Linked DNA regions of Canis lupus familiaris. The protein of the gene in region 1 binds, or shares a complex with, the protein of each later gene. Links are inferred from orthologs where the notes say so. Each region holds a gene or a part of one and is shown in the gene's direction. Other genes may lie near its edges.

Region 1 (4,084 bases):
CCACTGACAGAGGGACCACAGGCAGGGCCAGTGAGGCCCCTGTCCCCTTCCTTAGAACGTTCAGGAAAGCGCCTGCAATAGTTAGTCCTGCTGCGTCCCTTTGGGACACACACTGGGACCCACAGCTATTCCAACAGGACGCTGGGCCCCGTATCTGCTCTCTGGTCACCGCCAGTCCACGGACACAGCTGGCCATGCAGCCATGCCACGAGTGCCTTTCGCGGGTCTTCCCTGGCCCCCACACCCTGCTTCTCCTCTGAAGCTCAGCCCTGCCATGCCCGCGGGCAAGGCGGAGTCGGGTCCCTATCCGCTGACCGCTGCCTCCCTGAAGCTCGCCATCTGGCAGGGGCCTCGAGCTCAGTGTTCGCGTGCATGGCCTGCCCCTTCCTGCCGGCCGACTGCTCCATGAAGGAAGGCACCCGGCTGGCTGGTGCGGGGCTGCAGGCAGAAACCCAGGCAGTTGCTCTGGGCCTTGTTCCTGGTGCGGGGTGGGATCCCCAGGACGCCCGGATCCCCAGCCAGAAACCCCAGGACGCCCGGAAACCCCAGAGAGGAGGAGGGTGTGGGGTTCCCTGTCGCCACGGAGCCCTCACTCTTCCGCCAAAGGGACTGAGACAGGTTGCACAGCCCCACTGTGCAGTCGAGCAAACTGAGTCTGGGCTGATTGATGCCCCCCAGCCGGTTGTGATGAGGGCCCTGCCCACCCCCAGCCCTCCCTAGCTCCCTCCTCCTGCTCCACCGCAGGAACCCCAGAACCTGCCCTTCGACAGCTCAATGGGACAGCAGGACCCTGAAGACGCAGCACATCTGGACCAGAATCCTCGTGCCCCCTCTTCCCCTATCGCGTGTCCTCGGGCGCGTCACTAAGTGACGACACCTCCCCTGCCGAGAGCAGGTGCAAGACGGATCCGGGCAGCGGCGCCCCGCCGGCCTCCCGCCGCCAGAGGGCGCCGCAGGCACCGTTCAGACGTCGCGGACCCTCTTGCCTCGCTACCCCGGCCGCGCTGTTTTGCTTCCTGTTGTTCCGGAAGTTGGGGTGCCGAGGGTGGTGGAGGCGACTTCCGGTTCCGGGACGGCCGTGGCCGCGGCTCGGCACTGGGGGTGTAGGACTGTGGTGCGCGGGCCGCGGCTGGCGGCGACAGCGACCCCTGCCCGGCCGATCGGAGGCGGGGTTCGCGCGGCCCCCTCGAGTGGCTCGGCGGGGCAGGGCGGCGCGGCCCCTTCCGCCGCAGGTCCCGGGCCGCAGCGCTGACGGCCCCGGGACGAATGAATGAATGAGCCGGCGGGGGGACGGCGGACCCGGCGCCGGCCTTCCCCTCGGTGACAGCGCGGCGGCGGCGGCGGCGGCGCGGGACGGGGGACAGGATGAACCGGGCCAAGCCCGCGACCGTGCGCAGGCCCAGCGCGGCGGCCAAGCCGTCAGGTGTGCGGCCTGGGCACCCGGGGCGGGCGGCCTCCGGGTCACGGCACGCCCGAGGCCGGCGGGCTGGACTCCCTGTGCCTCGGGTCCTTCCTCTGCAACGTGAGCTGTGGAGGAGTGGGTGGACCCGCAGCTACAAGGTGGGGAGGCCGGCCTGCAGCGAGCCGGCAGGAGACCCAGCTGTGCCCTGATGACCCTTGTCTGGCCCCCTCCAGACAGCGGGGGCTGGGGGTGCAGCCCGGCCCCACCACCACCCCCGCCATGGTGTAAGGTGCACGTTTCTCCACCTCCCCTCTCTGCAGGGCACCCTCCACCGGGAGACTTCATTGCTCTGGGCTCCAAGGGTCAGGCCAATGAATCCAAAACGGCGTCCACTCTGCTGAAGCCTGCCCCTTCCGGCCTGCCTTCCGAGCGCAAGCGGGACGCTGCAGCCGCCTTGGCGGGTGCCTCGGCCCTGACCGGCCTCACCAAGCGCCCCAAGCTCTCCTCCACGCCCCCGCTGAGTGCCCTGGGGCGCCTGGCTGAGGCTGCTGTGGCAGAAAAGCGTGCTATCTCTCCGTCCATTAAAGAGCCATCTGTGGTCCCAATTGAAGGTAGAGTCAGTCCCTGGGCTTAGGTGGTGGAGATCGTGTTCCCACACAGCTGTGTGGTCTCCCCAGGGGTCAGTGAAGGCTGCCTCCAGGCCTAGCACCAGAGCTGAGCTGAGCTGGCCGTGGGTTCCCTGGAGAAGGGTTGAGCAGAGTCCATCTGGGAGTTTGTTCTGCAAAGACGCAGGCGTCTATCCTGAGTGTGCTTCCAAATCCCATCACAGACAGGGAAGCATTAATGAGACCCAAGGCAGCGTGGCACAGACGGTGGGGCCCGAACGTGCTATGGGAGCGGGTGCTGACAGGGGCAGTGAGTGCAGCGAGCCTCTGCAGCCTGGTCTTCCCGCAAAGCACAGGCATCCTGTCCTACGGCTGGGAGGTGGGAGGTGGTCGGATGGTGTCTGTCCTTGCTCTTCCTGCCCCCACGTCGTGGGGGAGCTCCTGCAGTGCCGCCAGGAACTGCTTCTTTCGTTTGCCACCTGGTTCATCTCGGGTGTTTGCTGAGCACCTCCTATGTGACGGGCTCTGTTTTCCATACTGGGGATGGGCAGAAACTGAGACCAGAGCCTGTTCATGTGGGCTCTGTGTTTTAGTGCTATCCTCTCTACGCTTCAGTAACCCCTGCAAGGCTGGAGGGTACTGTTCCTGCTATGGCCATCAGCTGGGTCGGGCCTGTGAGGTGGGCACTACCTGCCCTGCTCCCTCCCCAGCTGTGGCTGTTGTCCTCCTTGGAGGCGGGCAACCATGGCATAGCCCTGACACCCTCACTCACTAGGTCTCTGCTGGTTTGCCCTGTTGCCCCCTGACAATCAGGGGGGTGGCCTGAAGGCGGGTTCTGCTTGGGGCTGCACCCTAATAATCGGGGAGGGTCCTGAAGGCAGGTTGCTTGGGGTTGCCCCCTGACGATTGGGGTGGGGCCCCTGAAGACATGTTCTGCTTCGGGTCACCCCACAACGATGCCCTTCCTGCATCTGCCAGTGCCACCCTCCGTGCTGCTGGATGAGATCGAGGCTGCTGAGCTGGAGGGCAATGACGGCCGGATCGAGGGCGTGCTGTGTGGGGCGGTGAAGCAGCTGAAGGCCACCCGTGCCAAGCCCGATGGCGCGCTGTACCTGAGCCTCATGTATCTGGCCAAGATCAAGCCCAACATCTTTGCCACAGAGGGTGTCATTGAGGTGAGGGCTGGCTGGGTGGAGTGAGACAGGCTCTCGCTCTCTCCTCACGCCCTCCCACCCTCTCCTTCCCTCCCCTGGAAGCATGCTGGCTCTGCCCTTTGTGCAGGGCACTGCTCCCCCTGATGATGTGCCCTCTTTTGCAGGCTCTGTGCAGCCTCCTGCGGCGGGATGCCTCCATCAACTTCAAGGCCAAGGGGAACAGTCTGGTATCTGTGTTGGCCTGTAATCTACTCATGGCTGCGTATGAGGAGGATGAGAACTGGCCTGAGATCTTTGTCAAGGTGGGTCTGCCTCTCCTGAGAGGCTCCCCTGGGGCCTCTGCACTGCCTGGGGTGATGGGGGCAGAGCGCTGGACCCTCGGGAGGAAGAAGAAGCCTGCCTGAGTGTGCTATCCAGAGGCTGTGTATCTGGAGATCATGTTCTCACACACCTCTGTGGTCTCCCAGGGGTCAGTGACAGCCTGGTACGTCTGTCTCTTGCCTTGGTCGCCGGGGAGGTCGGCCTGGGAGCCGCCTCCCTACTCCCTGCTGCCCCAGGCAGCTGAAGACACTTGGGGAAGCATCTGTCTTGGGAGCAGAAGGGGTGGGCAGAAGTGAACTGCCCAGCAGGGGCCTGGAGTATGGATTTTATCACGTGCAGGTGTACATCGAAGACTCCTTGGGGGAGCGGATCTGGGTGGACAGCCCGCACTGCAAGACCTTTGTGGACAACATCCAGACAGCATTTAACACCAAGATGCCTCCCAAGAGCATGCTTCTGCAGGGGGAGGTGGGGCGCAGCGGCGGGGATCTCAGTGCTGGTAAGGGACGCTAGCTGGCTGGGCTGGGGAGAGGACAGAATGTTCCTAAGGGAAGGGCTGGGGTCGTCTCCCTCCACAGAGCCCGCTGTTGGGGGTGGGTACT
Region 2 (4,299 bases), on another chromosome or scaffold:
CTCATCACAGATTTGTTTTTAAAGTTAGACCTCTTAAAATAAGGTCTTCAGGTAGAACTCAAACATGATTTCACGTTGTGAGTATGCCTTAAGGCAATCCTCTTAGTAGCGTATACTCCCCACCAGGCAGTTAAATTAAAAAAAAAAAAAAAACTCAACATGGCTTAAAGTTTGATTTATTAAATATGACAGCAAATCATTCAGTTGTATTTGTAAGAGAATTTATTTTCACAGTATTCAATGACCATGTTTACAAATCGCCACATTCTTGCCAGCTTTTTCATTTTTCTCTAATACTTTTTCTATAGGGAGGCTTGGAAAAAGAACTACGCTATTAAAAATCAATAACTTAGCACAAGATAGATTATCAAACGGTAACATTCAAGAATTTAGGACAAGAAATGGGATCCCGGGCTCAAGAATAAAGGGATTAAAAAACAAGTCACCTCATTCCAAACGAGGTGGAGTTGAGGCGGGAAATACGGGTGTTCGTGAACGTTTCCGAAACCGAAGCAATCTTTCATGCAAGTCAAACTTTCTACTCAAACTCGAACTTGTTTAAGACCGAACTGAAACGCTGCTTTGACAGTGTAAAAGAAAAACAGCCGCAAACGACGCAAGTCCTCTGGAGCAACTGTTCAGCAGTCCTCACGTACAACTGCTTTCTCTAACCGGGAAGGCACGGAATAAAATGCTAAGTGTCAAAGAGAGAGGGGGAAGGAAAAAAAAAAAAAAAAAGTTAAAGCGTGCCAAAAAGGTCTTAAAGCGACACTTAGCAGCAAACGGCAAACGACTCCACGGACTCCTGCAAAGAGAAGCTGCTCTAGTCCCCATCAGCAGAGGGAGCCACGGGGACTGGCCCTGGGAAACCTGGGAAGGGGCCCGGGGCCCTCCACCAGCTCCCTCAGAGGCTGTGACCGCCCAGGAGGGGCCCAGCGCTGGAGAAAGCTCGGGACACTCACTGCAAGCCCTTGCCTCTCCCGCCCCCCCGCCTCCTCCCCATCCCCGTCTCGCAGCATCAGCCGGGTCGCCTCCGGATGCAAAGAGCAGTCGCGGGGGGGGGGGGGGGGGGGTCAGGGGGACCGCGGAGTCCGCAGCCTGAGCTCCCTCCTTACCTGGTCGCAGAGGCGCGGCCAGGCAGGGAGGGTGCGTGAGTGTGTCAGCGACACGAGCCGCCTGCGCCTTCCCACCCCGCGTGAGTTTTCCGAGGCAGCTTCTGCGAGTCTTCGCCCACGGACCGCGGGCGGCCAGAGAGGCCGGGAAGGGGCACGCGGCAGGCACGCCGTCTTGGAAACAGCCGCGTCCGCCGTCATTCATAATCCGGCGGACCGGAAGCCGGGGTTACGTCACTTCCCGCCGTGGCACAGCCGAAAACTTCCCCCCTTCACGGCGCGGCAGGAACCTTTGTTTCCCCGTAGTCGGAGCCGGCGAGTTCCGGGAGCGGTTCGGAAGGGGCCCCCGGGAACGGACGGAGCAGCGGGGCGGAGCGGTGAGTTGTGACGAGCTCCCCGGCTCCCAGCCGCCTCTGGGAGGCTCGAGACCTCCGCGAGGGGCGAGGCGGGAGAGGAGCTTCGTGGGGTCTTAGTTCCCTGGCTGCTGAGGGGGCAGCGTCGTCACTGGCGGGCGGCCGCGCGCCCGGGCTGACTGCCCTCTCCCTGCGGCGGGGCGGGGGCGGGGGCGGGGGCGGGGGGTGGTGCCGAGCCTCCTCCTGCAGTGCTGTGGGCTGGGGCTCTCCGGCTCGGCTCGGCCCGGCCCGGCCCCGGGGACTGGTCCCTGCAGCCCGGTGCCCGACCTTCCCCGCAGGGTTTTGGCGACTTCTCTGGGCAGCTCCCTCCTTCCGCCTCGCCTGTCCTCTCGGACTTGCTCCTCGAAGACCTTCTCCCGTGCTAGGCCTGCGGTGTCCTGCTTTGATCAAAGGACTGACATCCCTTTTCTGAGCGTCTTCGGCCCCTTTTTTTTTTTTTTTTTTTTTTTTAAATTTTTATTTATTTATGATAGTTACAGAGAGAGAGAGAGAGAGGCAGAGACACAGGCAGAGGGAGAAGCAGGCTCCATGCACCGGGAGCCCGATGTGGGATTCGATCCCGGGTCTCCAGGATCACGCCCTGGGCCAAAGGCAGGCGCCAAACCGCTGCGCCACCAGGGATCCCATTCGGCCCCTTTTTTTCAGCTTCTCTTGTCACTCGGTTGGTTTGGAGTCGTGGTCCTTCCGTTTCCCCTGCGTTTCCAGACATGTCCCTAAGATATCAGTGTAACCCAGGGCCGAGAATTCAGTAGAGGACTGAAACGGGCAGCAGCTTTAAAAGATTTTTTTTTTAATCTTTTTTTTAAAAAAGGCTGTTTTTGCAAGAGCTTCCAAAGACATGAAAGGGCAAAGCTTGCTAGAGCTGGTAGGAGATGGCAACCCTAATATTGCACTCGGTGTGAATAGGTGGTTTCCTTTATCTTGTGTCCTTGCACGTGCAGATGATCAACTCTGGACTTTTTTTTTTTTTTTTTAGATTTTATTTATATATTCACACAGAGAGAGGCAGAGACACCGGCAGAGGGAGAAGCAGGCTCCCTGCGCGGAGCCCCATGCGGGGACTCCATCCCAGGACCCCCGGGGTCACAACCTGAGCCAAAGGCAGATGCTCAACCCCTGAGCCACGCAGGTGTCCCAACTCCGGACTGTTTTTTTAAAAAAAAAGATTAGCATGTAGAATGAGAAATTGGGGATTTGGGGAAAGCATTGTGAATATCCAGTTTCGGTGGGAAAGATCACAGAAGCCCCAGAAAGTGATTTTTAAATAAAACCTAGTTCATTCACTCAGTAAATATTTTTGAGAGGCTAAGTTTCGAACCCTAGATACATAACTGAATAAAATAAGTTTCTTGCCCTCATGAAGTTACAGTCCAGTGTAATTAATGAAGGTAAAGCCAGGTAAAGGATTGGGAAGAGAGTGAGTACTGCAGAGAGGAACATTGTACAAGTCTCTAGTCATCAAAGAGGTGACTTTTGTTTATGTTTCTTTTACTGTTGCTTTTTTGATGTTTGAGAGGTTTGGTGGAGGCGCAGGAGGTACAGGGAAGATGGGTTTGCGTTTCTTACTGCTCTTTGCAAAGGGACTTTGTAAATTGGTTAGAATTGTGTAGGAGGGAAAAGACCATTACACTTTACTTTGATCCCTAATAATTCTAATAGCTGTTATTTTATGGTACTTTGCAAGGTAGCCATGTGATAGTAAAAAAGAAATGTAGAATCTCCTCCCTTAAAGTACTCAATAGTTTTATAGGGAATATAACTCTTGTGCAAAACAACAACAAAAGTATGGCTCAAGGTAGAAAGTCCTAGTACCACCAGAAAGCAGTATGATGTATCCTGGGAGGGAGAGATTTTTAGTAGTGTTTGGGATGGATAAGGACACACCAGCAGTGAAGAATCCACATGAGAAATAATATTTGAACATAAAATTTAGACATCTAAAAAATGGGTAAAAAGCTTCCCGGACAGAGAAAAAATAAGCAGAGGTGTCAAGACAAGCGAATGGCTCTTCTGTATAAGAATTAAGTTTTTGTGCCAGTGAGAGTCTTTTCAGAATTGGGCTTTATTTTGAAGACAGTAGGAAGTTTTAATTTTTTTGAAGATTTTATTCATTCTTGAGAGACAAGAGAGACCTAGGCAGAGGGAGAAGCAGGTTTGCAAGGAGCCCAGTGTGGGACTTGATCTCAGATCGCGGGATCACGCCCTGAGCCAAAGACAGACACTCAACCACAGAGCCCCCTAGGCATCCCAGGAAGTTTTAATTTTTGAGGAAGAAAATGAAAAAGAAAGAAGAAATGTGTTTTGGGAACATGAGTATAGCTGTAGTGCTGAAGTCAAGGAGAATAGCTACATTACTGCTATACCACAAAACTTAAAAGACATGAATTGGAGTAGTAGCAGTGGAAGTGAAAAATGGAACAAATGTGAGGAATGTTGCAAAGTACCATAGGGAAGGCCTACTGATTTTTTGGTTATACAGAATAAGAGAGGATTTAGTGAGGGAAGGATTTAGGCCTCAGACTAGATTAGCAGAGAGTTGTGTCATTCATTGAAAAAGTACAGGACAAACTTTTGGGAGAAAGTATTCATAATCTCAATTTTAGCCATAACTGAATTTGAGATACCATTAGGGCAACCAGGTAGACATATCTACTAAGCAATTGGAAATGTGGGATTTGAGCCTAAGTGAGATTGGTGTGGTGATAAAAATGAAATCATCTGCCTAGAGATGGTAGTTAAAAACATGATCTATAGAAGATAACCAAGGAAGAAAT
Region 3 (3,644 bases), on another chromosome or scaffold:
ATACTTACTATATAACCAGCAGTTTTACTCCAAGGTGTATCTGTCTACATGAGAAAAACGAAGACAATAGCCATAGAAAGGCTTTTTATGCAAATGTTCATAGCAGTGTTCATAATAGCCAAAAACTGAAAGGAAACTTCATAAACTGGAAAATGGATAAACTGTGTTCATAGAATGGAATACTACTCTGCAGTCAAAAAGAACAAACTACTGATGCATTAATAACCTGGATGAATCTCAAAATATCATCCTTAGTGAAAAAAGCCTGATAGAAAAGATTTGATATAGCAAAATTCCACTTATAAAATGGAATGTAGGGAGACAGGAAGCAGGATTAGTGGATGCCTGGGGATAGGAAAAGGGATTGACTACAGATGGGCACCAAGAACTTTTTGGGGATGATGGAAGTGTTCTTAACCTGCATTGTGGTGATGGTTTCACAACTGTTTGCTGATATTCATCAAACTGTATACTTAAAATGGGTTAATTTATTGTACGTGAATGATACGTCAAAGCTGTGTTTCTTCTTTAAACTTTCAAAGGTTTTAAAATTTGGAAATTTGTTTTATAAGCTATTTACTTCTCTTAGCCTGAATATATAATAAAACCTTGAAAGATGTGAATTTGAGGTATTTGATTAAGCTCATTACCAATTTTGATCTTCTGGTTCCCAGGTGTGTTTAGATGGCATCATAATTCTTTATTCTATTTTGAAGCTAATTAGACTTAATATATCTTATTTCAAAACCTATGCTGCAGGCTAGAGGTTTTAGTCTCTTTTAATTCTATGTTGGAAATAAATTTTGTCTTTGAATGATTTTCAACAGGATTTGAAGCCACAGACATTTAGAAATGCATATGACATACCAAGGCGGAATCTTTTGGATCACTTAACAAGAATGAGATCTAATCTTTTGAAGAGCACCCGCAGATTTCTTAAAGGACAGGATGAAGGTTAGATCATGGTTTTAGTAATGGTATTTTTTTTGTGAATTTCTTACTTTATATTGAAAAAATATGGTATGGGAATATAACTTTTAAAGAATTATTAGTAGTATTACATTTTCTTTTTAAATTCAAACAAATGAAGTAAGGAGTCATCTCTGATTCTCAACTTTTTTTTCTATCATCACTGTTGCCTCAAATTCTATTCCCCCGAGGTGACAATCTTTATTAGCAGCTTACTTTCTTTTCTTTGGCTTAGTTCATGCATTCACATGCACACACAAAATCATTTTCTTGTGATACACTAGTTAGTATCTGGTGGTTTAGCTTGGATGGTCAATACGTGTCCTCTTCTTTCAACAATATCTGTAGCATGTAGTACAAATCAAGTCAGATGAGAATTTAACTCTTTGCCATCTCTGATATAAGCATTCCAACTATAGCTTTATATAAAAAGGATTATCTCTGTGTATGTCTTTCCTGTAAATTTTGCTATAATTCTACTTCTTTGGAATAGAGAGAAGAGACATTCCTATTCATGGTAATGTTAACACATCATTACTTATTTTATACACTCAAATGGACTACAATATTTTTGCTTTTAGAAGATAAAGTCAATTCTTTTAAATTTTACTTTAAAAAAATCTCAAAAAGATTTCATTTTAGTCACAATATTTATAATGACAACATATGAATAGTGAGGTTAACTTTTGTTGTTGTTCTCTTCTGTTTGAAAAGATCAAGTGCACAGTGTTCCTATAGCACAAATGGGGAATTACCAGGAATACCTCAAGCAAGTACCTTCTCCACTAAGAGAACTTGATCCTGATCAGCCTCGAAGGTTGCATACATTTGGCAACCCCTTTAAGCTAGATAAGAAGGTAAACTTGAAATGTTCCATTGTATAATTCATTTGTGGATTTAACAGTTCTTAATTTAACTAAAGTAAGCTACTTTTCTTGGTAGACTAATAAATGTCAACATAGTTATAATACAGTTGCTCTAATGGGGATTGGAATTAGTTGTACCATTTAAAAACTGTATGTAAATCTAGGGAAATTATATATTTTTTTGTTACAGGGTATGATGATAGATGAAGCAGATGAATTTGTGGCTGGACCTCAAAATAAACATAAACGACCTGGAGAACCAAATATGCAAGGAATCCCTAAAAGACGTCGCTGTATGTCCCCATTACTAAGAGGCAGACAACAAAATCCAGTTGTGAACAATCATATTGGAGGAAAAGGACCACCTGTACCGATGACTCAAGCACAGCCAGATCTTATTAAACCCCTTCCTCTTCATAAAGGTAAGAATTTAAAAACAAACTTTATTTGCTGCTTTTTGTTTCTTTTGTGGGGATGAGATTTTTGTAATAGATTGTGGAAGAAATTGATTGATAAAGCCCAAGAGTGTCTAGAGAAGATACTTGTTTATTTTAAATTAGCATGTGATCATTTTGTATGTCTTTTTAAAGAACATTTGTTGGACATTTCTTATGTTTATCATGCTTTATTATAGCTAGCCATAATCTAAATACCATTTATAAGTCTGTTAAATAAAAAATTCAAAATACCGTTTACAAGTCTTAAGTATTTCAAAATAACACTTATTAAAGGGGTATTAGCAATACCCACAGAAAGATGGTTTTCAATTTCAGGTTAATTCAACAACTAATTAGGGGCACCTGAGTGGCTCCGTGGATGAGCGTCTCAGGGTGTGACCCTGGGGTCCTGGGATCAAGTGTCACATCAGGCTCCCCACAGGGAGTCTCCTTCTCCCTCTGCTTGTGTCTGTGCTTCTCTCCCTGTGTCTCTCATGAGTAAATAAAAAAAAAAAATCTTTAAAAAAAAAACAATCAACTAATTATTAAATACACGTGCTATTATGAACAGTGCTAGGCATTGAGGTATCATAGTGAACAAGACAATAGTGATCTCTGCCTTTATGATGAGTGAGGAAAGATAGTCATTGAATGTTGAGTTAGAATGTGATGAATGTTATAAAAGGTGGTAAGATGATTTAACTTAGTTTGTGAGGTCAAGACCCTTTACTGAGGAAGTTATGTTTAAGCCAACATTTAAAGGGTGAATGGGAATTGTTTCACTAAAGCTGTGCATTTAGTAGTAGTGCTAAGCAGTATGCTAGGCACTATAATATGCTACAGTAGTAGTATAAGAAAAATATGTGCAAACAAATATACAAAAGAGAAGATTATAGGAACTGAAAGAATTCCAGTTTAGCAGAGGTGTTCAGAGTCAGATAAGGTGAGAAATGAAAGATAGGCTGAGGCCAGATCATGGAGGGCCTTGGAGGCCGTCGTAAAGATTCTAGACTTTAAAGACGAGAATTTTTTTTTTTTTTAAGATTTTATTTATTCATGAGACACACAAAGAGAGGCAGAGACACAAGAGGGAGAAGGAGACTCCCTGCGGGGAGCCCGATGCAAGACTCAATCCCAGGACCCCGGGGTCACACCCTGGGCTGAAGGCTGGTACTAAACCCCTGAGCCATGCAGGTGTCTTGACAATGAGAATCTTTGAAAGATTTTGAAGAGCTAGTGACCTGACCTGATTAGCATTTTATAAAAAACAGGCCGACTGTACTGTTTGGAATATTGTTTGGGAAGAATAAGAATGGATTTAGGGGAACCCTTAGTGAATTAATGATTTCCTTAAATATAGGTAGTGATCATT

What was found.
Region 2: INTS1 (region 1) and INTS12 share a complex: the UniProt entries of both Homo sapiens proteins name them as parts of the integrator complex. The link is inferred for Canis lupus familiaris from reciprocal best matches to the Homo sapiens genes INTS1 and INTS12.
Region 3: INTS1 (region 1) and INTS6 share a complex: the UniProt entries of both Homo sapiens proteins name them as parts of the integrator complex. The link is inferred for Canis lupus familiaris from reciprocal best matches to the Homo sapiens genes INTS1 and INTS6.

What each region holds. Positions count from the first base shown.
Region 1 is NC_049227.1:15,594,773-15,598,856, forward strand, and holds the start of INTS1 (integrator complex subunit 1), read left to right. Parts: upstream 1-1,271; 5' UTR 1,272-1,365; coding exon 1,366-1,423; intron 1,424-1,722; coding exon 1,723-2,013; intron 2,014-2,985; coding exon 2,986-3,182; intron 3,183-3,325; coding exon 3,326-3,463; intron 3,464-3,821; coding exon 3,822-3,981; intron 3,982-4,084. UniProt on the Homo sapiens protein: Component of the integrator complex, a multiprotein complex that terminates RNA polymerase II (Pol II) transcription in the promoter-proximal region of genes.
Region 2 is NC_049253.1:13,347,359-13,351,657, forward strand, and holds the start of INTS12 (integrator complex subunit 12), read left to right. Parts: upstream 1-1,355; 5' UTR 1,356-1,489; exon of another isoform or gene 1,490-1,656; intron 1,657-4,299. UniProt on the Homo sapiens protein: Component of the integrator complex, a multiprotein complex that terminates RNA polymerase II (Pol II) transcription in the promoter-proximal region of genes.
Region 3 is NC_049243.1:595,092-598,735, forward strand, and holds part of INTS6 (integrator complex subunit 6), read left to right. Parts: intron 1-827; coding exon 828-954; intron 955-1,683; coding exon 1,684-1,826; intron 1,827-2,025; coding exon 2,026-2,257; intron 2,258-3,644. UniProt on the Homo sapiens protein: Component of the integrator complex, a multiprotein complex that terminates RNA polymerase II (Pol II) transcription in the promoter-proximal region of genes.